Arabidopsis thaliana: one gene and its partners. The protein of the gene in region 1 interacts with the protein of each later gene in a pairwise test. Each region holds a gene or a part of one and is shown on either strand. Other genes may lie near its edges. The genes, in order: AGL75, NAC004, ZFN1 and PAP2.

Region 1 (6,791 bases):
TTTTATCCTTTGCAGGGTTAATGGAATCCAATTCGATGAGGTCTTGATTTCCTTGGCGAAGCGTCAACAATTATCTCCTGAATTCAAAGGTTCGTACAAATAATCAACAAAGTTTCAAATCTGAGTATTGGTAGATTTATGTTTAGTGTATATGAGATCATTAGTGTAGATTAGTGTAGACTAAGGCTATATATGCTTAGTGTTGTTTCTTAATGTAAATATTGTTAAGAAATGTGTCTTGTTCTTCAGATATTAACCCATTGGGGAAAGTTCCAGCTATTGTTGATGGCAGGCTTAAGCTCTTTGAGAGGTTAACACAAAAGTTCATTCTCTTTTGGGTTCTTGCTTTGGTTTATTGACCATTTTTTATGAATCTTAACCGTTGATTCTTTTCGTAGTCACGCAATCCTGATATATCTATCCTCGGCGTTTCCAAGTGTTGCTGATCATTGGTAAGTTTCTACTTCGTTTGACACAAAGTGTAATCATTTTGCTTTGATGTTCATTTGTTTACTTTTAGGTATCCAAATGATCTATCCAAAAGAGCCAAGATTCACTCAGTTTTGGATTGGCATCACACCAATTTACGTCGTGGTGCAGGTATTGTACATTATATTCATCGATGTTGAGAAGTTATAGAGTCAAATAGTTCTGATTACGGTTGTTTTTACTGTTGCAGCTGGATATGTTCTGAATAGTGTACTAGGTCCAGCTCTCGGTCTTCCTCTGAATCCGAAAGCAGCTGCTGAAGCTGAGCAGTTACTAACAAAGTCTCTGTCCACTCTAGAGACTTTTTGGCTTAAGGGCAATGCTAAATTCTTGCTCGGAAGCAACCAACCATCTATAGCTGATCTCAGCCTTGTATGCGAACTTATGCAGCTGCAGGTACTCACTTAATTTCACTGTTTTGTGCGTTTTTTTAATTCATCGAAATACCAATCCTTGCTATGTTTTGGCTTTTGATTGTAAAATTTATGCAATTTTGTAGGTTTTGGATGACAAAGATCGTCTTAGATTGCTCAGCACTCATAAGAAAGTTGAACAATGGATTGAGAATACGAAAAAAGCAACAATGCCTCACTTTGATGAGACCCATGAGATCCTTTTCAAAGTCAAAGAAGGATTCCAGAAGCGGCGAGAGATGGGAACCTTATCTAAACCGGGTCTTCAATCCAAGATCTAAGAACTTAGAACAAAACTTTGGCAAAACCGGTTTCAGGGGTCAGTCACTGGTTCGTTGAAGAAAAGCCGATTATCTCCTATTCTCCATTGTAAGAAAAATAAGGAATGTAATAATCACTTGTTTTTTGAACTATATGTAATAATCACTTTATCAAAGGTTTTTACCGAACCCGAGCATTTTGAACATCACAACATGAAGGTTTAGATTTATATGTAAATTATAGTTGAACCAGCTCGCAGTTTGTGCTGTCCATCTCACTGGCTTACTTCCTTTGGGCCTTAGACTGTTAGGATCGTTTTTAGCTGGTAAAGGTCGAGAAAAGTGGGTAGCTGCACTGCTAAAACTCAAAGGAAAGCAAGGTGGAAATATAATGGAAGTATGGAAACTTATGGAACCATCAGGAGATAGAGGCCAAGAGGGGTGGGAAACTGCAGCTGACATAATGGAAGGGGAGGGACTATCACAAGATAAAGGTCAAGAGGAGAGGGAAGTTGCTGCAGAGTGCAGACATTATGGTAGGGAAGGAATCATCATCACAAGACAAAAAATAACAGTAGTGTGAAGAGTCACCTGCACAATTTATCTTTAAGCTTGCAAACATTAGTGTCCAAACACCACCCCCACCCCCCCCCCCACCCCACCCCCACACACTGTTCTCATGTTTACTGAAACTGTAATGCTTATGTTGTTCCGTTTAATAAACATGCGATGATTATTATTTCTTAGAACAGAGAATCACTGAAACAGGTTTGAAAAGAGAGGATGTTATATCTGTGAATAGAAAAGACAAAGACAAAGTGGAGGAATCAGAACTCAGCCACGGTTATTGCTCTGTTGAGAGTCTATTGGAAATTTGGCTTTATTATGATAGAGAGCAATCAGAAATAGATAAAATTGGCTTTTAGTAATTAATGTTTCTAGGGATGATGATTCAAATTTATTACAATAGCTGAATACAGATCAACAACAACACATCAAATTGATTCAAGATGTTCTTAATAAATCATAAGAATTTAACAAAAGCCTGCATAACCGTAACCGTAAAGTTCATTCTGCATTAACTGATTCAACCAGGGGTTCTTCACAGATTCTTCTACCGCCGAGTAATGTTGTGTGTTTGAGACGCAAGGATTTTGAAAGCTGTTGCTATTGATGTTACCCATAGACATGTTTTGATCACAACCATAAAACTCCTTGTACATCAATTGATTCAACCCAAAGTTGTTGACAGATTCTTGTACCGCTTCTTTGTTTGAGACGCAAGGATCTTGAAATTTGTTGTTTGTGATGTCACCCATGCTCATGTTCTGATTCTGATCATAACCACAAATCTCCGGCTTCATTAACTGATTCTTCAACTCAGATTCTTCAAGTAACGCTGAGAAATAATCCTGATTGAAATTTGATGCAGAGACTGGGATCTGAGACAGAGTATTGTCTCCATGGTTATACATAAACAGCGAGAACTGGCTAGGGTTCAAAGATTGGGTGTAATGATTCAGAGAGGATGGTGTTAAACTCTGATGATCCGGTTTTGTCTGATTCTGTTTCTGCGACTCAAGAAATCGAAGCCTTTCTTGGAATTTAGAGACATGGAGTTCCAAGGACTGAATCAGTGGAGAAACTTGGTCGGGAGGGTAATGATCAGCGAGTGGATACTTTAAAATATTCACGTTCTTAAGACTCGTCTTCATCTTCTTGTTCGGATTCTTCAAACCCTTGTTCTTCTTCTTGTTCAGGAACCCATGAAGATTAACGCTTTTCTTGCGTCTCAATGCTTCGTTCAATAGACTATACCTAAGAGCAATGTCTCTCACTTTCTCTTTCTCCTTAGGCCATGTCTTAAGTTCTCCGTCTGGTCCGTAATAGATAACGCAGGCTTCGATATCACAAAGAGTGCAAAGCTCTGAAGCTTTCTTGAAGATGGTCTCAAGCCTATTGCTCAAACTTGTGAAAGCGAGTGAATAAGAAGAAGAGGACGAAGGTGAAGATGATCGCATAGTCATCTTCTTGTTGATTGCAAAGACAAACTCTGTGTTTTTTCACGCTCAAAGTTAAGAGAAAGCACGAAGACAAACTTTGGCTTTGTGAAAAAGATGATGAACTATGAAATAGTTAGAAAGAATTAGATATATTTATAGATGATCGGTGATAAAAAAACGCGTAAAGATGTGTGCATAGATAGATTCGTTTCGATTTCCATATATTTGCATAGATTCGATTTCCATAGATTTTACGTTCTAGAGCCGTTAAGGGTTGATAAAAAGGAAACACAACTATAATTTGATATCATTAACCCTTGATATGATCTAGTTTGGTTTGGTTAATACTAGTCTTCAAATTCTAGCTCTAATCAGATAGTATTTTATACATCTACGCAATTATTTGGGCCTTGTGAGGCCCATTTAAAATTATGGACAAAAAGCGACGTCGTCTCGGATCTGACCTAGGTTTTTGTTTACACTCTTCTTCTTCTCTCCATCTCTCAGTCTCTTCGTTAAACCCACCCACATTTGAAGCGGCAAATAACGAAAACCATGGATCCGAAACCAACCTCGATGTGGAGCTCAATTGTGAAGAAAGATCCACCTTCAAAGCCTCCGGTTAACGACGGAGCTCCGGCAGCGATTCTCGGGATGGTCGGAAACTGCAAATCCACAAAAGGAATATCTATTGCGGTTGTTGACGCCAACGCCATCATTGAAGGACGTCAGAGCTTAACAAACTTCGCCGACAAATTCGTAACTGTCCCTGAGGTTCTCTCTGAGATTCGTGACCCTGCTTCTCGCCGTCGTCTCGCTTTCATCCCTTTCACTATTGATACCATGGAACCTTCTCCTGAATCTCTAAGTAAAGGTACACTTATTAGTTTTGTGATTCTTATTCTTGTGATTGTGAAATTTGTACCTAAGTAGGTATTTGTATATTCTTGTGTTGGAGAAAAGATTGTATTGTATCTCTGAGATTGATTGTTTTTGGTTCTGCAGTTATCAAATTTGCAAGAGCTACTGGTGATTTGCAATCTCTGTCTGATGTTGATCTGAAGTTGATTGCTTTGTCATACACGCTTGAGGCTCAGGTTTATGGCACCAAAAATCTTAGAGATGTTCCTCCACCGATTCAAACTGTTAGAGTTAAGAGATTACCTGAGAAGGATTTACCTGGTTGGGGCTCCAATGTGGCTAACTTGGAGGAGTGGGAGGCACTTGAAAACGAGACTGAGGAAAAATCCAACGCTAACTCCAAAATCCTTCCATTGAAAGACCTTAACATGAATATTATTGCTTCAGACAATGTTTCTGAGGTTGGTTCTGTTGTCTCTCATACTGAGAATCATGAAGAGGATGTGCAGGAAGGTGGGAAGAAGCATAGGCGATACCCGCCCAAGAAAACAGAGATTAAGCTTGAGGGTAAGATGGTAGTGGAGGGAGTTGATGCATCCCAGGGGCAATATGATGATGATGATGATGCTAGTGATTGGAGACCCGCAGTCAGTAGAAGTACTCACTCAAAGTATCTTAGAAGAAAGGCAAGGTGGGAACATTACAATGCTTTGGCTGAACAAGAAATTCAGAAAGATCAAGAAGCTGACAAAGCTCGACACACTAAAGAGGCCAATGAAACCCACGCAAAAGATAGTGGAAAGAATGGTGAGGATATATCTTCCATCCTTAAAGATATGAGGTTGGAGGAAGAGTCATTAAGGGCTCTCCAAGAAGAGACTGAAGAGACGAATGCTGAAGCAACTTTGATCAATGGTGAGGATGATATTGATCATGATATTGAAGTCGAAGCTGAGGGGATCGATGTTGCAAATCAAGCGCTAGAGAACTTGGAGATTGCTAGTGAGGCTGAGGATACCTTCGAGGCATCATCGATTGGAGATGATGGTAGCAGCGAGCAGAGTTGGTCATTGAGAGCTTTATCTGAGTCCAGTGTAGCTTGTATAACTGGTGACTATGCAATGCAGAATGTTATTCTTCAAATGGGTTTGCGATTGCTTGCACCCGGCGGAATGCAAATTCGCCAACTGCATAGGTACTCTAAATTGATCAGATCTTCCTTTTTTTTGTTCAAATGTCAGACACTTTTCTTTAGCAAGGGTCATTAACTGAAAAAGATACAATTCTTACACTTTATTGCATTGACATCTTCAGGTGGATCTTAAAATGCCATGCTTGCTACACAGTAACTCCTGAAATTGGAAGAATCTTCTGTCCCAAATGTGGGAATGGTGGCACTCTACGCAAGGTAGCGGTTACAATAGGCGCGAATGGCGCCATCATAGCTGCATGTAAACCACGAATTACACTTCGAGGGACCCAAGTAAGTAACTTGTTATAAGCAGAAGCTAACCAAAACACCAAAAATTCCTGTATTAGTGAAGAATCTTGTATTCTTTATTTGAAATAGCATGAGAACAGAACCACCATGTTTTCCGGCATGTATATGATCAATTTGTCATTTGTTACTGCCTTTAAACTTAAACCCTTGTTTCCTTTAAAATCTGCAACCTAATACACAGATAAAAACTTCTCCTGATACATGTGTCTTTTCTTTCTGTGCAGTATTCGATACCAATGCCTAAAGGAGGAAGAGAGGCAATCACCAAGAATCTGATTCTACGGGAAGATCAACTCCCTCAAAAGCTTCTCCACCCTAGGACCAAGAAGAAAGCAAGCAAACCGGTTAGTCTCTTCGTGTCTTCTATCTCAAACTCAAATCTGTAACTTTGATTGAAATCTTAAGGTAAATTATGCTGTTGTTTGCAGGGTGATGAGTACTTCGTATCAGATGATGTGTTCTTGAACCATCATAGTGATAGAAAGGCGCCATTGCAGCCTCCTGTGAGAAAAGCTATGTCGGTTTTCAGCCAGAAAAGAAACCCTAATGACAACCATTACTCTCGTTCTATGCACTGATCTTTGTTTCTCCTACACAACAAACATCTCCTGTACTTCAGATGCCAACGATTTTGTCTCTTTTTTGTACTTTTACTTTTTCTTTCTGATTGTTGTTTGAAGTCCAAAACTAGTTTGAAAAGGTGAGAGTTTATAACTTTTTATTCGGTTCACAGATGTATTCCTCTAGTTTCAAGCTACCTGTCATTTTTTTCTTTTTTGGCTCAACACAATTTCATTCGTCAAGAACTTGGTATACAAGATTACACCTCCAGTTTATTGGTATTAACAATAGACCGACCGTAACAACCTACCTGATAACTTATCCAAGGCATGGTCGGTGCTATCAAAACCGAATGCAAAATTGAAGCAAAAATGTTCGAACAAGTGTATGTCAATGTCATAACAACAAAGCCAATTTTATTTACTCCTATCATCGTCGTCTTCGTTAGAAGGCGAGGCCAGCGCTAGCTCGGCCCACGCCAGAGAAGACGATTTGAATTCTGCAGAAATGGACACAGTGATTCTACTCTCTAGTGTCTCACAAAGCGCTTGAATCGAACAAGAAAGCTTATCCTTGTCTTTTTCATTCTGGTCCAAGTTCAGACATTGGCTTGCCACTTCACATACTGCCTCAAGTTCTTTTTGCTTGAAATGCTTGAGCTCAGGATCCACCAAGCTAGCCATCACATCTGGTGCACCAAGGT
Region 2 (8,038 bases), on another chromosome or scaffold:
TTTGTGTTATTTATACGGTTATACCTAACGTTTCTAGTTATCACAAAAATTAATGGTGTATTAATGTATTTAATAAAGTAAGTTAAGTTGTTGCACAGAAAAGAAAGTGTAAGTTGGGTAAATTGTGTGAGCCAAAAAAGATTGTAAATTGTGAGTTTGTGACGCTGAAGAGTGAAGACAATTCAAAAGGTTATATCTTATATGCGACGGCGTAGGTCAGTTTTGGAATGGTAAACACGCGGCAAGTTTGGTTATCATCATTTGTCACAATCATATATATTTACTCATATAACATACATACATTGCTTTATCGTCATCTTTGGTTCATGAATAAGAAAAATGTTCTCCCACAAAATATCTTTACCCTTTGGTTTATATTTTAGTTTTTTTTTTTTTTTTTTTTTTGTCAACCGATATAAATTAAACCTCAAAAGAGCCAATCCCGAGGGATATTGTTTACATACGTGACATGATGCGGTACGGTACGAATCTTTCGTGCCAACTTATCCGCTTTTACATTTGCACTACGAGAAATTAAAGATAAAGAGAAATTTGTGAATTCTTCCCTATCACTTTGCAACTCCTCCAAATACACTGAAAACGCCGGCCATTCGGTTGGAGAAGACACCATCTTCACCAAGTCTGAACAGTCTGTAAAGAAAGCTACGTTCTGATTATCTGCTCCAATCATGCACTTCATCGCCCAAAGAAGAGCTTCCATTTCGGTATGTAGAGGAGATAGACTTCTACGAACGTTGGCGGCTCCCATGGTTGGCGACTCTCCAAGAGATGATAGACAGAACCATCCTGTTCCTGAGAACTGGTCACTTGCTTTCCAAGATCCATCAATAAAACACCGAAAGCCAGAAAAAGTTGTATCTTGTGATACATCCCTCACCCGAATTCGACTATCTATAGACAAGGAACCATGTTTTTCACTATGGAGCTCGACTTGAGCTTCCTGCCACGATTGAGCCTCTTTTACCGATAAGAGCAATATTTCCATTGGATCTTTATCCACATTTTCAAAAACTTTTTCATTTCTTGCTTTCCATATATACCAAATTATCCATGGGTAAGAAGCCGAATCGACGCCTGAAGGAATTCTCCAAAACAAATGATCCAAATTCGTAAAAATTGAATTCGAAGGAAAAATCCTTGGGGCCGTAGGAATTTGTGATAGTGCCCAAATCTGCCTTGCAGGATGGCATAGAAAAGGTTTATATTTTAGTTTTAATATAAAAAAGAGGGGAAAAGAGTATTTGCAAGTTGCAAGTTTTTAAAATATACATTAATCAAAAGACTGACATATAATTATTGCACTTATCATGTGACAGTTACGCTGTTAATCCCACATTTTTTTTTCTATTTTTGCTCTGTTAAATTCGATAGTTCATTATTTATGTCGAAGCAAACGATGTAAAAATGTAAACCACATATAATGATTTTGTATATAGGAAACTTCGTAGGAGGCGTAGATAAAAGAACTAGACAGCTCCAACCAAATACTCCTCCTCCTACTTAGTAATTTTTTTTGCTAAATACAGCTTATTAGTTCGTTATAAGAGTTACCAAGGAGTAGTAAAGCTAAAGTATTAGCAAGTTGCAATTTAGGATTTTCATTAATTAATTGAACAGTGAAGTAGTGGTGGGCCAGGACATGTTACCAAACACCAACAACGACCAAATCTAAAATATGTGAGCTAATTGGGCCACGTGGAAGCATTTTAATTACACGCGCCGTGCATACTTTTCAACCAAGGCACAGTTTCAACTTTCAACTAAGGCCATAATATTTTCTGGCCATAAAATATTCTTTCAGATTTAGAGAAAATGTTTTTTTTTTTGTTTTTTTTTTAAATTTTAGAGAAATGTTTGGTAACAGTTTGCTGAAATGATTTTGATTTGGATTGGTTGTATTTAGCCAAAGAATCTTGTTCATTATTTGTTAATAAAATAAAAAATCTCAAAATGAGGAAGAAAACAAAAAGTTAGCATCAGTCAAATGGGGTTTGGACTCAAAGATAAAAGTGACAATATGCTGCACGTAAGATGTAGACTAAAAGTCTTATAGAAAACTCTTGACATTATTAAAATCGAAGCATCTTGATTTGATATTATCCTTGTTTCCTTTTGTTGAGAACCTGACATCTTTTGTGGGGATTAGGTAGGACTATAGCCTCAAGGTTGATTGTGATCATTTTCATCTTTTGTCAAAGAAAGTGACCATTTTATTAGTTGTATCGTGTATGAATTGAAAATTATCCAACTTTCTCTTCTCGGACTTCTCATCACAAATTTACCGTTTTTATATATTGGACCAACATAAAATAGGGAAATTTTACACAAAAAAGGATAGACATAACATTTTGGTAGTTGTATTAATTGAATTCATACAACTTTATCTTCTCTAACAACTTCGTATCACAAATCCACCCTTTTTATATAGAGAGAGTACATACATGAAGTCACACAATCTGATCAAAGTTTACAAAACAAGATAGACATAACTTATATTTCTACAAATTTGGAAAAGTACTAAAAGGTGTTCTTGGTCTCATCTATTGTTATCATGTTCTTGAGATAGAATAACATTGGTGAATTTTCTTGACTAATCTGTGTATCATCCTGTAAACGAAACTAGCTCTTTTCTTCTTGACAGACTCTTCACCCAATTTATGCTCTCGAATCACAGTCACTTGACCCGGACCTTGGCTCACCTGCAAAATATATTAAAGAACCAACCATTTAAATAATTTCTCTAATCTGGTCTCAATGTTGTGAGTGGTGAAATTAACAAAGTAACATGATTAGCATTTAGAGTTAAATGAGATAATAAATCTCACCTCTTGAGTTAATGACACTAGCTGGACTGTTGAGTCAGGAGAATGTTGAGTTTGGTCTATCTGATGATTTGAGCTAGCAAAACTAGCACAAGTGCTCGAAGTTCCAATAGAATTCTGTCATATGAAACAAAAACTTTAGCTTTCTGATGTCAAATCTGAAAACAGAGGATTATCAAGATGCAGAGTAAAATTTTGCTTACTGTTTTAGGAGATATCAAATCAGAATCATTATCATCACTGCTATCATCACTGAAGACACCAGTTAACGACTTTAGAGGTGTGTAATCGCTGCGATGATCTTGCATAAACATGATATTCCTCTGCTCATCACCATCATTATTCAACCATGTTTTCCATTCCTCCTCAATCGGTGTAGTTGCATCATCGATTTGAGATTCTCCCTGCACATTAGCAAAGACACCAGACTGACTTGAATTCTGTAATTCTTGGCTGTGAAACGACGAACCCTGAAAAAGGGGAGGAACACTAATGTCAGATATTTCAAAGTTTCTAAAGACAAAACAGAGAAAGTTTGAGATTCTCCCACCTCAGATCCTCCAGAACTGTTCACAAGAGGGATTAAAGAGTGAATCTGTTCAATTTCACTACCAGTAGAAGAAGAAGAGATCTCTGTCTCTTCACCCTTAAACTCAACTTTGCAGACTGTATACGTCATCATCTGTACAAATAATCAAATCAAAACACGATCACCACCACAAAACACCAGAATTAGGTCAATTAACAAGAGAGATAGAAAAAACCCTAGGAATCTGGAATTAGGTCAATCAACAACAAAAAACCCTAAAAGTTTGGAATTGAAAAATTACCTGATTAGGAAACAAGGACGTAGCGTGATACTCGTGCATAACCCAGTCGGTCTTTGAACCATCTCGATTCTTAAAAACCAAAACCCTTTTCTCACCGATCTTCTCACGATTTCCTCTTTTGCGCATGACAGTCATTGTTTTTCCAGTTTTCTTCCAAAACCCAGAGTTTGTTCTTCTTCTCTGTTGATCACCTCTGTTATACTTCATCTCCTTAACACTAAAGAAATACCAAACCCCATCTCTCGATTTGATCATCGACTTGGCTGTGAAAAAAGAGGGAGAGGAAATCAGAGCAAATGATTTCGAATTCGATACAACAGTTTGGGAAAAAATAACTCGACTTACAAGGTAAATCCCAAGGCTCGAAGCTACAGATATCGACTGTGCTAATGACTTCATCGACATGGCTAGTGTCACTATCGAGATTTTTTGGCCGGAGGTAATGGTCGACGATCTCCTCGTCGTTTGGACGGAATCTGAAACCCACCGGATTCATCATTGTCCGAGAGCGACTAAAGTTTCAGATAAAAGACAAAATTGGTGAGAAAAAGTCAAAATATGTAGCAGAGAGGTTTCGCCATTAACGATGCTCTGCAAGTTATGTGTGAGTTTTTTTGTTTTTAGGAGGAAGACGAAGTGTGTGTTTATAATTTTTTATAAAAAGGCTGTGACGGGAGTAAGTGACGTCAACTATGACCAGATGATGGGACCCACTAAGTGGATGACGTCATGTATGATGAAAGCAGGACACATCACACCAAGTTCACATGGCGGCGGCTGGCACTTATCCTAATGACCCCACCATGATTTTTCCAATCCCCACACACTTGTTTTATTTGTTTACACTTTCTGACAAATTCTCTAAATACTCTTTTTCATTCCGTTTTATTTTACCGGATTAATGACATTTTCACATTCCGATTTAGTATAATTTTTAACACGTTTTATAGTAAATACATAGTAAAATCACTTTTTTTAAAAGTCGGTAACGTGGAAAATAATAAAACAACTGGTAAAGAAAGATAAAATTTATCAAATTGAATGATGACGACCGTTAAGACGTTCAAATAAAATAAAAGTTATGATTAGTCTAATGGCGGGTTTTGGGCTTAAACATCTAACATGACAAGATATTCGCGTGGCACACATCTATAAAAGTCCAAAAGAGACTCGTGACATTGCTAGAATTAAGATTAAAGCATCTTTGATTTGATGATACTGTTATTTTATTTTGTTGAACGAAATCTTTTGTGGGGTTAAGTAGGACTAGCTGACTAGATGAGTAGAGGTTGATTGCTACGAAAAATTGTCTATTTTGTTAGGTTGATTGCTACAGCTTTTGATATCCATATTGTATCTCTAGTTTTCTTCCATTAAAAAGGAGGGAAAATCCGAATATTTTTCGGGGATTCTAAAATAAAACAAAACAATACATAATTATGGGAGTTATTATGTCACGTTACTACCAAAAAAAAAAAAAAGATGTGGTTTGACCATTTTGTTAGTTGAATCAAATGAAGTGATACATCTTTCTTTCCTCTAACCACATCTTATCACAAATTCACCATTATATTTTAATATATCTCAGGGCACACATACAATGTGTAAAAGTTACAAAACCAGATAGACACATATTACATACTACTACAGATTTTGGAAAGTACAAAATTGATATCATGTTCTTAGGTGAATTTTCTTGACGAATTTTTGTATCATCCTGTGAAAGAAACCAGCTCTTTTGTTCTTGATCGTCTCTTGACCCAATTTATGCTCACCAATCTCAGTCCCTTGTGCATCATTATCAATACCGGTTCCCGGTGTTTTGCTCACCTTAAATCACATCATAGAACCCAAAATGCTGTGAGTACTGGCACAAAGTAGCTTGGTTAATTAGCAGTTTAGAATGGTTGGTCTTTAAGAAAAGGAGATGATAAAGCTCACCTCTTGAGCTAATGACACTAACTTGATTGAGTTAGGAGATTCCTGCAAGTCAGTGATTTGGTATAGAGGATTTGAGCTACCAAAACTAGGACAAGTGCTTAAAGTTTGAATGGAAATCTGTCGTATTAAACAAAACTATAGCTTTGTGAGAAAAAACTGAAAACAGAGGAGATAGTAAAGGTAAAATAGGAAAATTTTGCTTACAGTTGTTGCAGAAATCGGATCAGAATCACTACCATCGGTGCTATGATCACTGAAGACACCGGTCAATGGCTTTTGAGGTGTGTGGTTGTTGCGATCATCTTGCATAGAAACAATCTTACTCTGCTCATCGTCATCATTAAAGAAGCCTTTGAAATCATCACTCAAAATATTGCAGAAGTCCCTATCTAGTGCATCCACATCAAGAAAGCCAGAAAACTGACTTGGATTCTGTGATTCTTGGCTGTGAAACAACGATCCCTGAAAAAAGGAACAACGTAACACAGATGAAAAAACTATGTGTACGAGATATGATTTTGAAGATTTAAAAGAGAAACAGGGAAAGTTTTTGAGATTGACTCACCTCTGTCTCTACACTCAAAACTCCAGAATTGTTGGTAGGAGGGATTAAAGAGTGAGTATGCTTAATTCCACTACCAGTAGCAACTGAAAATTCTCTCCTTTCACCCTTAAACTTAACTTTGCAGAGTGTGTATGTCATTATCTACAGATCAACTCAGCATAAATGATTACCATAAACTCAGATTTTTCCCGTTTACGAGAAATAAAATCACGGTAAGAAAACAACAACAACAAGTTAAAGAAGCCTAAACAAGAGAATCGAAAAATGACCTGATTAGGAGACGAGAACGTAGCGTGATACTCATGCATAGCCCAATCGGACTTGGAACCACCGTGATTCTTAAACACCAAAACCCTTTTCTCACCGATCTTCTCACGATCTCCCGTTTTGCGCATTATATCCATGGTAACGCCAGTTTTCTTCCAAAAACCAGACTTGGTTTTTCTTATCTGTCGATCACCTTTACCATATTTGTTCTCCTTACGGCCGAAGAAATACCAAACCTGATCTCTTGTTTTCATCCTAGAATGGGCTGGGAAAGACAGAACATGATCAGAAATTACCGGGATGATACAACAGTTGGGAACCAAAGAAAAACAAACACTCGCGTTAGAAAGACTTACAAGGTAAGTCCCAAGGGTCGAAGCTACAAATATCAACTGTGCTAATGACTTCATCGACATGGCTCGTGTTACTTTCGAGATTTTTCGGTCGGAGGTAAATGTCGACGATCTCCCCGTCAGTCGGACGGAATCTAAAACCCACCGGATTCGCCATTTTTCAACAGCTACAAAAAGGTTCAGATCAAAACTAAGAGAGGGAAAGATATCAAAATATGAAGTAGAGAGCTTTCTCTATGGTCGCTCTTCGCCCGCTCGTCTACAAGTTTATATCATAAGAGCAAGTCCAACAAAGGGATTTAAAGCATATCTTAACTGTTGAGAACCAAATTTAAAAAACTACCGCTGGTCATGCTCTAAGCAGGCAAGATGGGTTTGTGCGCTTATATAAGGCACAATAAAGGAGATCCTAAAAAAAAAAAAAAAAAAAAAAATTGAGATCCTTGGTAGATTTCGTCAACTATTTTACGGACAGGTTTTGGACCCCATAATGCAGATGTTGGGTCACATAATTTCTTTCCTACCAGATCATCTTCTTGATACCCTACCCACTTAAGTCAAAGTGCGCTTAGTCATGTGATGTGACAGTTACTCCTAACGTTAACGTCAATGGTTAATTTATCTTGAAGCTTATATAAGATCACAAAAAGTAAACCACATTGAAATTTGTATATAGGAAACTTCGTAGAAGTCGTAAATAAAAAGAACCAGCCACAAATATAAGGATTTGCCGAGTATGGAACATAGCATACAATACAATGTGAATATTAAATTACAAAAGACAAAAAAAAAGAGGGGCGCTTACATATACATTCATAAATTCCTCAGCTCTACATACACACATCTGCGGAGTAGAAGAACCACTTCAACTTGAAAAATGCTATACCATTTTCTTACTTATATAGGGTGTGACTGATAAAAAATGGACGAAATGAGATGAAAAATAAACGAAGAAAAGTGAAGAAAAGAAAAAGCAAAAAGCAGAAGAATTTTCTCTCTCATGTATTTGAAGTGGGATGAATTCTTCCTTTTCACGTTGCTTTTTGAAGAATTGGGAAGAAACAAAACCAATTACTTTTTATTGCTTTTTGAAGAATTGGGAAGAAACAAAACCAATTACTTTTTATCTGACTGGTTACATTTAAGTACAACACAGAAGAATTCTTTTTCTTCTCACTATTTTTCTTCTATAGAAGACTACCAGTCAGACCCATAGTTGTGATACTGTTTGTTTTTCAA
Region 3 (8,088 bases), on another chromosome or scaffold:
ACAGTTAAGAGAAGCCGTTGATCCCATCTTGTTGAAACCTTCTGATCGATTCAGAGGCAACCAAGATGATAGAACAAACAAGATTTCCTCCAATAAACGCATGTGTCCATCACGCGCCGCCGCGAATCTTTCAAAACAAGAAGACAAAGCCAAAACGCTTCCGTTTTGGACCAAACACTTCTTGTTCGTGTCCCCTCCTCTTCCCAAGTTCTTGATTTTGCTCACAATCTCCAAACACTCGGCATACTCCTCACGCGCCGCTGCGTTTTGCAATCTCCGACTTATCTCCACCGCATCACGCGGCGTCAACAGCACGCGCGGTGACTGAATCCGCTCTATCCTTGATGGCGATCGGAGTTGAACTGGAATCTTGGTTTCCACGACGGAGATATCGCCGGAAATCAATTGATTACGTCTCTTTGCTACTCCTCCTCTTGATCTCCAAGGTAACACCATTATCTCGTTTTCCTTTTTGTTTTGTTGGTTTGGTTTCCTAAGAAAGTTCAAATATTTTTCGACTATTCGATGAAGAATGAAATGGGGTTTATGGGATTTGTATAAATATATGTTCCTTAACGTGTTTTATTTATATATATGCATGTAATGTAAGGTGGTTTTGTACTTATTAATAAAGTGAGACATGGTCAAAGGTTGTATAAGCTTGAAAGAGAAAAAAGGTATGAAATGGAACGTTTGATTTAGGTTTGTGAACTGAATTGGAATGTTGACCGTTGAAATCTGTGGATTAGTATTCTGCGTCCAGATTTATGACTTTTTTTTCGACGGTTAATTAAATTTTTTTTTCATTCAAATATTGTTAAAGTCTAGAAAGCTTAGTAAATAAATAACTAAGAAGATCATACCAAGAACTATATATTATTAATATATACATATAGATTACGCGTGTTTCCCCTTTACCAACTGTATACTATATGTTTAATTAAACAATTTGTAGAAAATATACTAATTAGTTACTAGACTTAAATATATCTAATCGATGATTAGATATTGGTTCCCGATCATGTTAAATCTTTGATTAATTTGGACGTTATATATTGAGTCTTGTATATACATGACGATGACGTATAATATATGTAGTATAGATTACAAGTATGGGAACATTTGGACTGGAGTCGAGTACGACGAGTAGGCATGTGAGACTCATTCTGTGAATAAGAATTAGTCATAGTTGAATTAAAAGAAAAAAGTAAATAATTAAGAGTGATTAAATTAGTTTTTAGTTTAAGAAAATGATAAAACGAGTAGGGAAAGACTTAAGACCAAGACGATGCGACTCGGGCTTGGTCGCTTATCCGTCGTCGGGTCCGTGTTTGTTTACTTTTCCCCGCGTCATTGTTTTTCCAATATTACTTCAATACATTAAATATTTTACGCGTAGATTCATACACTGCTTTAAAAGTTCGAGTATCTAAGATAAACCACACGAAGATTCGATCAAAACCAAATATCTGATAAATACGAATTTTCACCCAATTATGTAACGTTCAATATTATTTTCGATTAAAAGATCCACAGAAAGTTATTTTCATTTAAAAAAAATCAAACCAAAACCGGATTCATTACATCCCGGTTCAGTTTACCACGAAATTTAACGCAGATAGGTAAAACATAAGCCAGTTGGTTCAATCATCGTAGCCATGAATTCTCAAACTATCTTAATGCTGAAAATTACCTAATCTTCAGTTAAAGCACAAATTATCGCCAGGAATCAAGTTTCAAAATTTCATCCATATTTCAACATTGCAAATTCATTCTACGGCTTTGTAATAAGGACGGACTTTTATAAATAAGGAAAAGGAGAATTTACAGACTCTTCATCAATAAGATCCTCTTTGGATAATCATATCAAAGAATGCTCTGTATCATTTACAGACTCTTTCGCTTGTTACTGCTATAAGTATCAATGGACAATCGTTTCTCTTGTTTCAGACACAAAATCTTGCTGTAATAATGTTCTCCCGATAATAAAAGCAGAAACACATATAAAAAAACGATCAGACGAATTTACCAATTGCACAATGATGTGCCTCTCCATAGATCTACTCCATGGAAGAGAAGATTTCCATGAAGCAAAATTGTCATGGAGAGGCAAAATCAATCTTGTCATCTTCCGACACAAATTTGGCACAGAGGTTATAACCTATTTGCTTTAAGGATGACGAATCTCATCAGACACCAGAAAACAGTAGCTCAGAGTGTTAAAAAAACAAAACTAACACAAAAGGTTATGATTTGATCAACGAGCTTGATTCGGACATAGATAAATACATACGACTATGGAAGTGTAACCTCCTCAGAGCAACTCCATGGAAGAGAAGAGTTCCATGAAGAAATTCCCATGGAGGCCTATAAAACTAATCTTGTCATCTTCCGACACAAAATTGGTACAAATTATAACCTATCTTGCTTTGTTAGATGACCTCATACAAGAAAACACCAACACAAACTAAGATATCTCCGCCACTGTAACACTAAACCCTAAAAACTGATATGGAGGTAACGGAAGAAAGAAAAACGCAAAGTTTATACAGAGAGGTTTAGGGCAACCGATGGAACTAAGCACAAAACGACGCCGGTTATACAACTATTGGGTTTAGAATGTTTTAATTTAATATGGGCTTTATTTATAGCCCAACTTATTTCTACGGTAGGTCCAACCTTTAAAAGGCCTATGAGTTGAAGAAAAAACAAGGCTCCAGTTTAACACATTTGGGTTTGATTTTACCGAAATATTTTAATCGCACCAATGCACATGGTCAAAGCCAAATATGAGGGAAATTACTTTCAATTTTATTGAACCTGATTCGCCAAAAGAATATTACAACAATGGCGATCAGATCAAGATCAAGATCAGTTGTATAAATCACCTCTATACATTATTAATAAATGCTTGAGAGACTAAATGAAAATGAGAATTTACAGATTCCTCTTTTGAAAAATCAAAAAGCTTTTGTTTTTCTTCTTGTTTAAAAGCTCTTCTTCTTCTTCCTTTGTTTCTTCACTGCTGTGTATTATCAATGGTAGTGTCTTTACCAGAGGATGTTGTTGCTGCTTGTCTTGTTTCAGACACAGAGAGTCTTCTAGATTTCCCTGTTGATGTTTCCACTACCTCATCTGTCTCTGAAGCTGTGTTGTCGTATGTGAATACTCGCATTGGGTGATCAAATTTACAGCTTGGACCAAATTTGCAGATTCCATAGCGTGTATAGAACACACACAACGGTTCTCCCTATCATTTTGAGAAAGAAAAAAAATCAAACAATGCAGAGATTTAATCGAAGAGAACCAAGTAATTATGCACAAGTCTTTGAGCTTACCGGGCGTAAGGGGAGGCCAATGGAGCTTAAGAGACAATCAGGAGGAGGAGCTTGTCTGTCTCTAGGATGGTGAAATTTGCAAACTGTGCCAAATTTGCAGTCACCTGTCTTCATGTAGAATTGGCATTCGGGTTGTCCTGGTCTCTCCGGGAACACATTTTCCCTCGGCAATGCATAATACCCTCCTAGCGGAACAGAGGATCCCGGATTGTAACCCGAGAATGATCCTTGAGACTGAGAGCCTGACTCTATTGTCTCGTTCTGCTGTAAATTTCTGTAGTTTTGATCATTTCCGGTACCTGAAGGAGAAACTGAGCCGAGCTGACCCTAACGAAATGGAAACCCCGAGAAACACTCGACAGAAATCAAAACCAAGTCATATAAAGTCTGAAGAGTATAAGCAATGTTGTTTAGAAAACTTACACTGTAAGGGTTCCATCCTTGAACCGGGACAACTCCTTGAGGCATGATTAAGGAAGCGTAGCTAGACGGATCTTGCCAACGAGGGCTGGCAATAAAAGAAGCTCTTGACCAAGGATAAGACTGTTGCCCTGAGGTAGGAACCATCATGTTGGTTGGTTGAGGCTGAGGGTGGTTGAATTTACAAGTACCACCAAATTTACAGTGTCCGGTTCTTAGGAAATAAGCACAATCAACCTCATTCTGCATATATGACATTACAGAGAATCACTAAGATGATGAAACAATGAGAAGTAATGAAATCAGCAAGTCAAAAAGTCAAATATACCGAGCGTAGAGGATAGCCTAACATATTGAGAGAGACTCTTCCAGCAATCCCAGCTTTGTTCCTTGGATGATGAAACTTACATGTTACTCCAAACTTGCAGGTTCCTGTCTTCAAATAGTACTGCGCAACCAAAACATACAACACCACAAAATGTTAAGTTAGTTTGTGTAAGAAGATGACTCAATTACCAAACCTTGACAAAATGTTCATCTACAACTGGACAAACCAAAGATTCTTACCTCGCATTCAGGCTGACCAATCCTTTCAGGGTATTCTCCTCTCATCCTTGCAGTAGCTATAACCTAGAAATTGGACAATGAGAGAGAAGAGCTCAAAAACAAAATTCCAAAAGGCAAAAGCTTTGACATTATAATCCGACCAGACAGATCTCTAAACTCCAAAATCACAGAGAGGAACACAAAAACCATAACGTACCAGTTCCCGATCACGAGGATGGTTGAACCGACAAGTAGAGCCAAATCTACAAAGACCAGTTCTTATGTAATAAGAACAATCAGGCTCTCCTGGTCGTTCAGGGTAAGAACCAGTTTCCATTGTTTCATCTGAACTCAAATTCATTTGCCACATTGCATCTGATCATAAACCACAACCCAAACCAAGAAGAAGAAACTGAGATTAAACCCAATCCGTTTAAAAACAAAACAAATAACCAAAATTTGCCGATCAAAACAGAGAAAAGAAAGAAGAAATTGATAGGACCTTGATTCATCAAAGGTGAAAGAGAAGACATGGGAACTCCGGCATTAAAATCCATAGACGTGAAGAGGAAGAATGTCTCCGATGATGATGATGATGATAATAAGCATCAGACATTATACTGTCATCACTAAGAATGAGTCACCGGTAATCGATCTTCTTCCAACAAGAAAATGAAGTGTAGAGAGGTAGATGACAATGGAGGAAGAAGACATCTAAAGAAGAAGAAGAAGAAGAAGAAGAATCGTGTAAACAGAGAGGTGAGAGGTAGTGAAGAAAGAAAGAGAGAGAGAAAGACGAAAAGCAAAAAAGCGTTCTCGTCTCACCTCCACACAAATCAAACAAGAAATTTTGAGAAAAATCAATTAATTTAAAGTTTGTGTATGTACGTAGACGAATATGCCCCTACTGATTTTCTTTTTTTCTATTTTCGTAAAGACTAGAGTGCGACAATTTTTATTTTATCTTCTCCACCAAAATTGGACGGTAGAGAACACGTCAGAAATTTTTATTATCTTTGTCCTTTTCTATGTGGTTATTTCATTCCATTTATTATGAATTTTTTTTGAATATACAACTTTTATTTATTTTAGTTGTTGGAAAAATCAAATCTACCAAACAATAAAGAGCTTTTATGCCAATTATCATCAACTTGGGTTGGAACAAATTACGGTCCATAATATTGGGTTTGATGGATCCACAACCGAAACTAACACACGACCAGACATCCATACATATGTTCTAGTTTCGGACACACATTTGTTACTATTAGATAACTAATTGAAACATTCAAAAGCACAAATTTTTCAATCCAAAATTCAAATTGAACATCTCTAGTCTAATCTTGATTTGGTTGGAGCCTTGCTTTGGCTCTTTCGAGAGCTTTTAGCCTATTAGCTTCCATACGTACTCTCTGTTCCTCGGAAATGTTCTGAGCTTTCTCCATTGCCTTCAATCTATTAGCTTCCATACGTGCTCTTTGCTCTTCTGTCAGTTCACTGCTTTTATCCATGTTTTGTTCATCGCTCGGTAACTTTGAAGCATTATCAAATATCTCATTCAACATACTGTCTTCAAAAGCATCAGCATTTGTATCAGCATCAACGCTCTTTGATGGTATGTTCTCTTCGTCATGACTTGGCTGATCCATATCTAGATTACCAGCAGAAGACTATTCATTACCCACAAGATTGTAATGTAACAGATATTGAACTTAAGTGTTATGCAGCCACATAAGAAGCGTTTCCTTTTCGTATCAATATCTTAAACTTAAAAGAAGATTCAAGGGAAAAAAGCTGATCTGTTTGACATACCTTGATCATCAGAAGGAACAGTATTTTCTTCCTGCTTTTCGTATAACTTGTTTGGATCAACTCCACTGGCAACCCTTTCTCGCAGTTCATTTATACAATTCTAAAAGGATAACACATCAGTATATATCAATGTATCAAGTATAAATGCAAAGGCAACATAGCCATTGAGTGAATATATAGTTTCAGTTTCTGGCAGAACCTAACTATGTTAGGGAAGTAAAGAACGTATGAGCAACCTAACACAGCCTCAGAGTCTAGTAATTCGAACTTTAAAGCAACAGATGATTGATCACCAAAGAACGAGACAAGCAATGTCATTCTGGCCTATATAATTTGTTTCACGATGTTAGCCCGTCAGCAGGATTCAGATCAAGTATAAACGCAAAGGCAACATAGCCATCAAGTGAACATATAGTTTTTAGTTACTGGAAGAACCTAAGTATGTTACACAAGTAAAGACTAACATATGAGCACAATGATCATATACCAAAACAGCCTAACAAATACTCAGATCCTCTATCTTGCAACTTGAAAGCAACACATGAGTGAACATCAAACAAGGAGACGAACAATGTAATTCTGATTACAGCAATCTAGACTAACCACTGCTTAATACAATCATCGGAATATTTTCAACCTTTAAATCCGGATTCATAGATTCACAATTGCCACAAGGAAGAACGCTTTACAAAAACAGAAAAAGTGGATCGAGCAATGTAGTACCTTAACACGCTTAGTAGAAGCGACTTGTTGAACTTTATGCACAAAGTGATCAAAGGAATAGTAAGGTAGCAAATGAGTGTGCCACTCACTGTACAACCGTATCAAATTCCCCAAATCGCTCACCTATAAAAATTATTCATATTATCCAAATTATCACACTGTAACATGTAAAACCGCTGTTAAACGAATCTGCGGGTGAAAAAAAGACTTGCCTCTTTGCCTCGGCCACGATACTTGAAGGATTTAGGGAAATAGCGAAGAACATAGCCGAGACCATCCTCAGAGAGTAACAATTCAGGAGTTAGCTTGGGCCTTTGAACTCTCGTCTTCGTCACTTTAGGAGCAGGAGCTATTGAGGTTCCACTTTTACTGGAGGATCTCTGAAATTCATTATTAGGGATTTGAGATGGAGCGGAAGAAGAAGAAACGGAATTATTGCCGGCGACCGGAGCCGATGATGGACAATCACGAGACCAATGACCGGGACGACCACACTTGAAGCATCCCGTCGGAGCTGATTCCATTTCAGATTTCACTCTTCGATCTCTCTTTCTCCCTCTTAGGTCTTTTATCATTCCACCATCGAAAATTATTTGGGCGGTTTTCACTTTTTCTTTAGCGGGAAAATTAGACGAGTCGGGTACTGTTTGACCCGGTTTATTATAAAAACCTAAAGAAAGAGAAGCCCATTAAATACAAATTTTGGAACCAAACATATTGTAATTTGAGGCCTTAAAGCCCAGTAGAATATATTAGTAACGTAGTAGAGAAGACAGAGAGTTGCAAATAATGTCCAGAAATAGTATTATTATAGTCCAGAAATAGCGTTTTTTAGCGGGATGATCTATCAATACTGGCAAAAATTATTAATTTTAGTGTGTTGTGGGACAGATTAATCCACTTCAAGATCATTACTTGAGAATTTATTTACAGGATTTTTAAAATTAGGTTATACAGAAATTCGAAAGAAGAAGGATGGTTCTCCATGCTTTTGGGAAAAGGTAAGAGTTTATGAGAGATTGAGATTATTACAAAAAATCTAAACTTTTTTTTTGTCCATTTTTTCTCGGAAAAATTACTCTTCTTCATCGATTTTCCGGTGGTTTGGATTGTCAACTTCATCTTCTTCTTCTCTTTCTCCTTTCATTTTTTTTCTTGTGTTTCTTCTTTTACGTGGGTCCTTCAATCTCCATGAAGGACCCGACCATTGCTTAATCCTAAACAAAACTCCAAAAATCTAATTCTTTTC
Region 4 (7,951 bases), on another chromosome or scaffold:
TAATCAAAACCTGTAATTTTTTGTTCATGAAAATATGAGATTTGCATTATATAAATGTGCATTTAGTGACAATGTGACATTATACACTAAATTCGGAGAAAGATTGGTTATAATGAAATTTTAAACCTTATTTTAAATAGAAGTTTCAAATGAATTTCCCTGAAGAAGTGAAACTAAATAAAATAATTTTTTGTTTCCTTTTGGATATTATATCTAAATATAAAAATCAAACCGACCGAATTACTACATACACTACAATAATGTTTTTTTCCTTTTATAATTTGTGGGCTAAAAAAGGTCGGTCGGCCCATTTTGAGCCCAATAAAATTTAGGGATAGATAAAGACATAAAGTAACGAACGATATTCCGAGGTTGTCATTTGCTAAGGAAAAAAAAAACGAAAACGTGTGTCTGTCTCTTCTCGTAGCGTCTCTCAAGCTCAGGTTCGTGAACATTCCAATCTCTCAATGCAAAAGCTCATTCGAATTATCCTTCTCTGTTATTTTCGAGATCCGATTTACTCTTCTTTACTAGTCAATTCTAGGGTTTTGAGTATTGATCTTTCGCAATTTCGAAATTTTCCCAATTTGAAAAGATAAAAATCTTCCCTTTTTGTCTGGATCACACTTGATTGCTGAAGTCATTGCATGCACTGTTTTGTTGTTTACAGATGAATTTTGGGTTGCCAAGTATATCTTGGTTTGGTAGCATCAGCACAAAGAAAGATGTAGCTATGATTGATTCCGTGACACCAACAACAACTTCTCTATTGGAACAGCCAGAGCAAGAGAAAGCAACAACCTTTCTTCTCAAACAGCCAGAGAAAGAGAAAGGCTTATTTGATATAAAGATATGGACTTGGTCCTCCTTCAGTTCAGTTCTTCCTTGGTCTGCAAATGCCTCTGATGGTAAGCAGAAACCCACTACTATCAACAGAGGGTTAAAAAGGCATGCTCTTTCTCGGAGGTCATCAAGATCAAATGGTGTGAATACTGTTTATCGGTTTAGACCTTATGTGTCTAAGGTTCCGTGGCATACAGGGACGAGGGCGTTTCTGTCACAGCTTTTCCCGAGATATGGACATTATTGTGGACCTAACTGGTCTAGTGGGAAAGATGGAGGTTCGATGGTTTGGGATCAGAGACCTATTGATTGGTTAGATCATTGCTGTTATTGCCATGATATTGGTTATGATACTCATGACCAGGCAGAGTTGCTTAAAGCTGACATGGCGTTTCTTGAGTGTTTGGAATCAAACAAGCGTGTAGTTACTAGGGGAGATGCTCAAGTTGCTCACTTTTACAAAACAATGTGCATTACAGGTAACTACAATCTCCTTATGCTTTTATATCAATGTGGGATTATTTCATAATTTACCTTATTATTCAGGTAGTAATATTTGATAATGGCCGTTTCCATTTGGTGATGTACTGATGTATCTTGAAACCATCTATCTCGAATGCTTTCAGGTCTCAAGAGCATACTAATACCCTACAGAAGTTACCTTGTGAAGATACAATACGGGCAAAATCTACTCGACTTTGGCTGGATAGTGAGCAACCTCAGCAAGAGAAGCTGGAGTTTTCAGAAAAACTGAGACATAAGGAAGTATATCGGAGGTACTCTGTCATCCCGGTAAGCCTTTGTGGGTGTCTTCACTTTCGTTTTGTACATAGAAGTCATAAAGAAAGGAATCTGAGGATTAGGTTCTTTAGTAGTATAGATATATATGTTTAGTATGAAGATGTGAAAACGCTAGTAAGTGTTGTGCGTCTTGTAAACCCGTTGTACATGTCTAGTAATAAACCCTTGTTTTTGAAGTCTTTTGTTTGAATGATATAAGCTCTATCAAAGGATCATTATAACTTCATTTCATGGAAACTCATGAACTAGAAAAACTATTTTCTATAGTAAAGTTTGCATCCAAAACATATATAACAATGAAAACCACATCCGGTTTACACACTACCAAAACTTTTATACATATGAATTATGAAGTCTTCCTTGGCAAACACACATACACAAACCCATATGTTTCATTAGATTGATTAGAGAAAGAAGTAAGAGGAAGAGGCCTTATTAGAGCTTAGTAGAGGCTGGTTTAAGAAAGATCAAACATCACTCCTAGCACACAAACACACAAGAATACTTCAAAACAAAATGGCTATTCAATTTCTTAAAAACATATTTTTTCAAATCATATATTATCACATAAAAGGGCTTTTCCTAGTTCCTGCTTCTGCACTTCTCCATCACCCTTGGAGCTGCAAAAAAAGAAAAAGCAAGATTTGTGTATGAATCATTGTGTATTCTTCATTTGTACAGTAGTGTGCAGTAAGTTCCTAGTGTTTAAGAGGCTTGGAAAGGACTAAATTGCATCGTTTTAGTTTCTCCAGTAATATATTTCTTTAGCTTCAGAATGTTTATAGAATCCAGCGAGAAGCTTAAGAACCATGAAAGTATTAGAAGGGTGTCTTAGTTCAAAATGGACCACCTTTCTAATACATCTTAAAATCGAGCACATGGGTGTGGAACATTAAACTAGGGTTTAGTAAAGAAATACTAACCTAAGCCGATAGCCTCAGAGCTCTTCATGATTCTCAGCTTCTTGCAGGAGCATATAAACATTCTGCAGAGGAAAAAACAGTAAGAGAGCTTCACTGATCTATATTCTTCTGTTAAGCTAAAACTGTGCTAAGATCATTAGATATGATCTAATACTTGATGTTAATTTACATTGTTGAGATTGATCTTTTAAAAATCAAAGACTTACTCCCAAGGGACATCTCCGACCAGCATCCAGTCACTGTCTTTATCTTCATAGGTTACAACATACTCAGAACCACGCAAGAGATCAGTCAAGCGACTCTCGTTTAACCCATCTCTGCCACACCCTCCATGAGAACCAAACTGACCTGAAAAAAGGAACCAAAAGAAAACAGTTAACTCAATCACTGGTATTGATCTCAAAGAAGGAGAGACTAGAAAACGTTACCAATGGTGAAGCAACTGAACATCTTCTCAAGAGCAGAAGAGAGCTCAAGGTAGCTTTTGTAAGTCTTGAGATCGATTTTCCTCAAGTAAGGAGCACCTTCCATACTCACTTTGACATACAAGCAAGGTTGTTCTGGTCCAGACTTAGCTTCTGCTTCTTCAGTCTCTGAGTTATTACCAGGTTTCTGAGATTGAGAAGAAGCCATTGAGTTCTTCCTGAATGATCTTATTGGTGGCCATCCCACCACTTGTGCTCTGCTCAATCAAAAAAAAAAAACATCAAGAATCCCTCTTCACAGAAATCATAAAACAGAGCAAAAAAGCTGAGAAAAATCTAAAACAGAGCAAAAAAAGCTTACTTTGAAGCTGGAGCTGTAGCAGAGCTCTTCTTCTCCTTAACCGGAACAGCCGGTTTAGTGAAAGTTGTCGACTTTCCATCTTTAACGACGGAGGTACGGGGACCAGAACCCGAGCCGACATCACCAGTAGCAGTAGTGGATCCAGGAGAGAAGACCCATTTGTTAGAGTCGTTAATAGCGTCGGAGAACACCCTTTTGGCACCTGACACGGGACAGCTACTCTTGTTGAGAGCCAAGAATCTTGAGTCGACTCGCTCCGGCGACTCAGAACCGGGTAAACCGAGTCTTAACTCGGTAGCCTTGAAATTGAGACCGTTGTTATTGTCTCTGGTTTTGGTTTTGTCAGACATTGTTGTTGCTTCCATGGTTGGAAACTCTGACAAACCTATGTAATCATGCTCTGCTGCTACAGATACAGACATTTTTTTCAAATATAATTGTGGACAAACTTTTGAAGCATTTAGTGATTACAAAAGAAAAAAAGAACAGAACACTTTCTGAGAGAAATGGGAAACAAAAAAATTTAAAGATGAGATCAAATTGTGAGTGAAAATGAGAAATGATAAAAAGGTGTGTGAGAGAGCTTTATTTTTTTTTATTTTTTTACCTTTAATCTTCTTTTTTCTTGGAATCGTATTATTTTCCAAAAGTGGACGGAAGTAGTATACGTAATTTTATATTCATATAAACCGTAATTAGAAGTAAGTACTTTCCTCTTTTGGCGGGTTTAAACACAAAATGTTGATTTAAGAAAATGGTACACATGAATGTATTGTATATACACGTTACGTTTTGTGTAGACATCTACTCCCCGACAGGTCACAGAAAGCGTCCTGAAACCTTTCCTATTATGCCCTTGTCTCGACTCTCGTATTCCACGTTTTGTTTTACTTTTTACTTTTGTATTTGAAAAAAACAATTTGCTATCTCATGAAGGTGTGCATGTTATGCTATCATGCAAAACGATTTAGTATCTAAAATACGCTTTTGTATGCAATTCCTTTTTGATATATGTATAGAGATGTTGTAATGAGTCACTAATTCTGTTTAGTTTGGCTTAACATTATATGTTTTAGATTCACTAGACGATTTGATATAACTCATAAGTTAGCTCGTGAAACCAATCTTTACTCATGAAATTGAGTGATGATAATGATAATCTAATAACGGTGAACCATTTAATCATGTGCATGATAGCATAACATATTCTATAATAAATCAAACGTATTGGAGTTTAAACTTCACAAACTTGTATAAATTCACTAGTAGTTTAGCTAACGAATGGAGATTATTAGTAAGTCGCCAATAATTGCGATGGAAGATGATATTTAGGCTTGGGGGTGAGAACAGAGAAGAGAATCTCGAAAAAGTTTTGGGCCCATAGGCTCTCATTTTTTGGGTCCACCAGAAGCATGAAAAGAGGAAAGAAACAGTAGGGGTAGCTCTTTGCCACTTAGCCGCAGTAGCAATATTGAGCAGTGTTCCCAAAAAGAATTGTGGTCTCCACACTCCACTTTTCATTTTTATCAGACAATGTTTTCCCAAAATCGAGCATATATGCTACAGTACATTACAATTTGACCTATTAGTAAAACTTTGATACTTGGATCATAGTCTTAAATTAATAAAAGTTTAAATGATCAAATCAGATTTAACTTTGATAGTATTTATGCCCATCTAATCTATCTCCAAGTATATTTTTTAAGTGGATGACTCAATCTACATTTAAACGTTTCAACTCATATTTTAACCCATATTTATTAAACCAATATATCTGATGCTATAACAATATAACATGAGAAGAAGTATATGAAATATTGTCATTTATATTCTACCAGTGATTTATATATTGTTTGGCTGTATTGATTAAGTCATTCATTTGTAACAACGATAAGTATATACATAGCAAGAAGACATACAAAAAAGACCTGTAAGTTGCAGTATTATAAAATATCATATGCATAGTAATTTGGTTAAAGCCTGCCTCTAAGGTGGATCCATCTTTGGATCTTATCTAAAGCTTTTTAGATTTGTGTTTTAGTGTAAGTTCGAGTGTCTTAATCATAAGGTGCCTTTCTTTAACTTTTCCTTTGTCTCTCTCTTTTTTTGGGCAAGGTTTTTGTCGTTTTTGGGACATCTCAACTTATATTCCACCTTAACTCACCATCTAATCGTGCCATTAGTTACTTACAAAGCTATCTAAGGATACGAATCTTTAGTAAAAATGTGTCTATCACTATAGAAATCATATGAAGGCTATAAAATCTAAAGATTAGTTGGAGTTACCCAAAGTATTTACTTATCTATATGGATGTTGCATCACATGTGGCGGTTTTAATTATTGTTATTATTATATATGGCCACGTTGGGTTTACTGTATTAACAAGAGACATCATAAGTAACTCTAGGGTTTAATTATACTAGCGAGAGACAGCTTAAGTAACTTAAAATGTTGGTTTTGAATGTTTGTTTATAGACTTGTGTGAGCGACAAATACATACTATAATTTTATTTATTTTTAGTACTGATGTTATACTTAATGTTTTTTCATTTTTTTCTGCTTTTCATCAAGCATAATAATTATGACTATAATTGAAAACTATGTAGTTAGTTGAGGATCGAATGGAATTACACTAAACCTAAAATGTTAAATCAGTGGACGACCGTACTTACAGCGTTAGTGAAAGATCGGTTTGTGTCGTAATCGAAAAAAGAAGAAAAAAAAAGAACAAAGAGACAGTGTGAATCTTTAGACAAAGAAGCCACTTACCCTCCTTGATTTAACATCCATACAAGAACCTCATGCTCCATTATAACTCATAACCTACCATATCGAATCAATCCGATGGCTATAAATGATTAGATCGATATAATTTTTTAACCTGTCATCAAATTAGATCGATATAATTTTTTAACCTGTCATCAAATTAAACCGCATAATGGTAACTGCCGGTTTTGTTTTTCTTATGCGGTTATTAATTTCGGCGCTGTCTACATATAGAACACACACACATATATATAATATTGGATCGTTTGGTGGCTGAGTATAATCTCTACACACGCCCTCATATATATATACTAGATAAGGCCGCCTAAATAGGCGGATGTATGATATAAATTTATTTAAATATTTATCAATAATATTTAAACTTTATATAGTAAATAGTAATCTACACACTTTTTCTAATATTTAATATAGTAATTTTTATATTACATAAAATTTTAATCATACACATTCAATTTTACTTATATTTTAACTATCTATTTCATCATAATAAACTATTTTGTTATTTATAACATAAAAACTACATTCAAACACTCTGTGGAAACGACATCCCGTTTATATCCTCTGACAATGTCGGACTTACAACTGTTGGACAAACATCAAATAAATATAAACCGAGCAGTAATTAAAACGCATAGTTTGCTAATCCATTCACTATGCGATTAGTTTTACTATACACATGAGTAACTCGGATTATGCAGTCCCTATACACTCCATCTTATTAATGATATTTGAATTTTAAATAGTAACGTAACTCTCATACTTTTTCAGTATGTAATTTAGTATTTCTTTAAACCAAATTTCAATCTTACAAATTCGATTTTGCAATACAATTTAAATACCTATTTTACCATAATAAAATATATAATTTAATGATATACACTCCATCTTATTGTTAGTTTTTTATATAATTTAATTATATACACTCCATCTTCTTGTTAGTTTTATATTTTAGATAAGAAAATTGTAAGTTAAATATTTAGATATAAACATATTAATTAGTATATATAAATATCTTTGTTTTTTAGTTTTCTATTTTCTTTTAGGAAAAAGTAAAAAAAAAAATCAAACACATGTCAAAATCTAAAATCGTTCAAATAACCACGTGTCATGATCTCGTGAGTTAGTAACTTTCAAAATTGTACTTTATATAATAAGATTAACTTTTTTTCTTAAGGTATTTCAAAGATTGTAATCATGGGATTCATTTGATTTTCTTTAAGATACATATGGTATGGGCTACATTATAGAAAGTGCTTGATATTGGGAGATTGACTTTGTCCATCAGAGTCGACGTTTCTAAGTCATACTCAATGATATGGGTTTACGTATGTGCTTAATATATATGCATATTGCGCTCCACTATCAAGATTTATGAAGAAAAAGAATGCTCAATTTCCACATGATGAATATTCACATTGTTCTATTTAACGACTTCATATACTAATTTCTTCTTTATATACACACAATTTTGAGTCGAAAAATCTATTAATCTTAAATGTATAATGATCTTGATATATACTGAAAAAACGTTGAACCGATCGATGGATAAATTTGTTGGAAAATTAGTGAAAAGTTTGTAATTAATGTAACTAGATAAAGAAAAAGGCAGAAACTACAGTGCTATTTCGGCCTCAATTCTCAAATGATCTCTAGATTCCTATTATTGAAAAATGCAATGAAGAATGGTGTGTACATAAAAACGCAGCATGATGCATCTCTTGTAATCCATCTTTTAAACTCAATCGGCTAATAGTGAAATTTTCAATTTCTTTGAGTTTTTACTCAATACTGATCTGATATCTAGTGAAAC

What was found.
Region 2: the proteins of AGL75 (region 1) and NAC004 interact in a two-hybrid assay, tested with the Arabidopsis thaliana proteins (one large-scale study listed by BioGRID).
Region 3: the proteins of AGL75 (region 1) and ZFN1 interact in a two-hybrid assay, tested with the Arabidopsis thaliana proteins (one large-scale study listed by BioGRID).
Region 4: the proteins of AGL75 (region 1) and PAP2 interact in a two-hybrid assay, tested with the Arabidopsis thaliana proteins (one large-scale study listed by BioGRID).

What each region holds. Positions count from the first base shown.
Region 1 is NC_003076.8:16,486,942-16,493,732, reverse strand, and holds AGL75 (AGAMOUS-like 75), read right to left. Parts: upstream 3,190-6,791; coding exon 2,197-3,189; downstream 1-2,196. Other genes in the region: GSTT1 (glutathione S-transferase THETA 1), read left to right, coding at 16-89, 250-310, 399-452, 521-600, 680-885, 989-1,183; AT5G41190 (RNA-binding NOB1-like protein), read left to right, coding at 3,721-4,039, 4,171-5,221, 5,341-5,509, 5,752-5,871, 5,956-6,105; AT5G41180 (leucine-rich repeat transmembrane protein kinase family protein), read right to left, coding at 6,505-6,791. UniProt on the Arabidopsis thaliana protein: Probable transcription factor that may function in the maintenance of the proper function of the central cell in pollen tube attraction.
Region 2 is NC_003070.9:432,604-440,641, forward strand, and holds NAC004 (NAC domain containing protein 4), read right to left. Parts: upstream 4,320-8,038; 5' UTR 4,173-4,319; coding exon 4,019-4,172; intron 3,937-4,018; coding exon 3,674-3,936; intron 3,526-3,673; coding exon 3,394-3,525; intron 3,314-3,393; coding exon 3,047-3,313; intron 2,961-3,046; coding exon 2,847-2,960; intron 2,721-2,846; coding exon 2,571-2,720; 3' UTR 2,362-2,570; downstream 1-2,361. Other genes in the region: NAC005 (NAC domain containing protein 5), read right to left, coding at 5,348-5,503, 5,615-5,731, 5,819-6,076, 6,180-6,320, 6,449-6,711, 6,803-6,956.
Region 3 is NC_003074.8:610,848-618,935, reverse strand, and holds ZFN1 (zinc finger protein 1), read right to left. Parts: upstream 5,165-8,088; 5' UTR 4,862-5,164; coding exon 4,807-4,861; exon of another isoform or gene 4,680-4,806; coding exon 4,522-4,679; intron 4,389-4,521; coding exon 4,326-4,388; intron 4,207-4,325; coding exon 4,087-4,206; intron 4,002-4,086; coding exon 3,762-4,001; intron 3,666-3,761; coding exon 3,339-3,665; intron 3,251-3,338; coding exon 3,020-3,250; 3' UTR 2,791-3,019; downstream 1-2,790. Other genes in the region: AT3G02840 (ARM repeat superfamily protein), read right to left, coding at 1-456; AT3G02820 (zinc knuckle (CCHC-type) family protein), read right to left, coding at 5,642-5,955, 6,117-6,216, 6,840-6,962, 7,052-7,414.
Region 4 is NC_003075.7:14,321,439-14,329,389, forward strand, and holds PAP2 (phytochrome-associated protein 2), read right to left. Parts: upstream 3,924-7,951; 5' UTR 3,776-3,923; coding exon 3,354-3,775; intron 3,250-3,353; coding exon 2,996-3,249; intron 2,916-2,995; coding exon 2,774-2,915; intron 2,630-2,773; coding exon 2,568-2,629; intron 2,265-2,567; coding exon 2,227-2,264; 3' UTR 1,858-2,226; downstream 1-1,857. Other genes in the region: AT4G29070 (Phospholipase A2 family protein), read left to right, coding at 671-1,322, 1,470-1,597. UniProt on the Arabidopsis thaliana protein: Aux/IAA proteins are short-lived transcriptional factors that function as repressors of early auxin response genes at low auxin concentrations.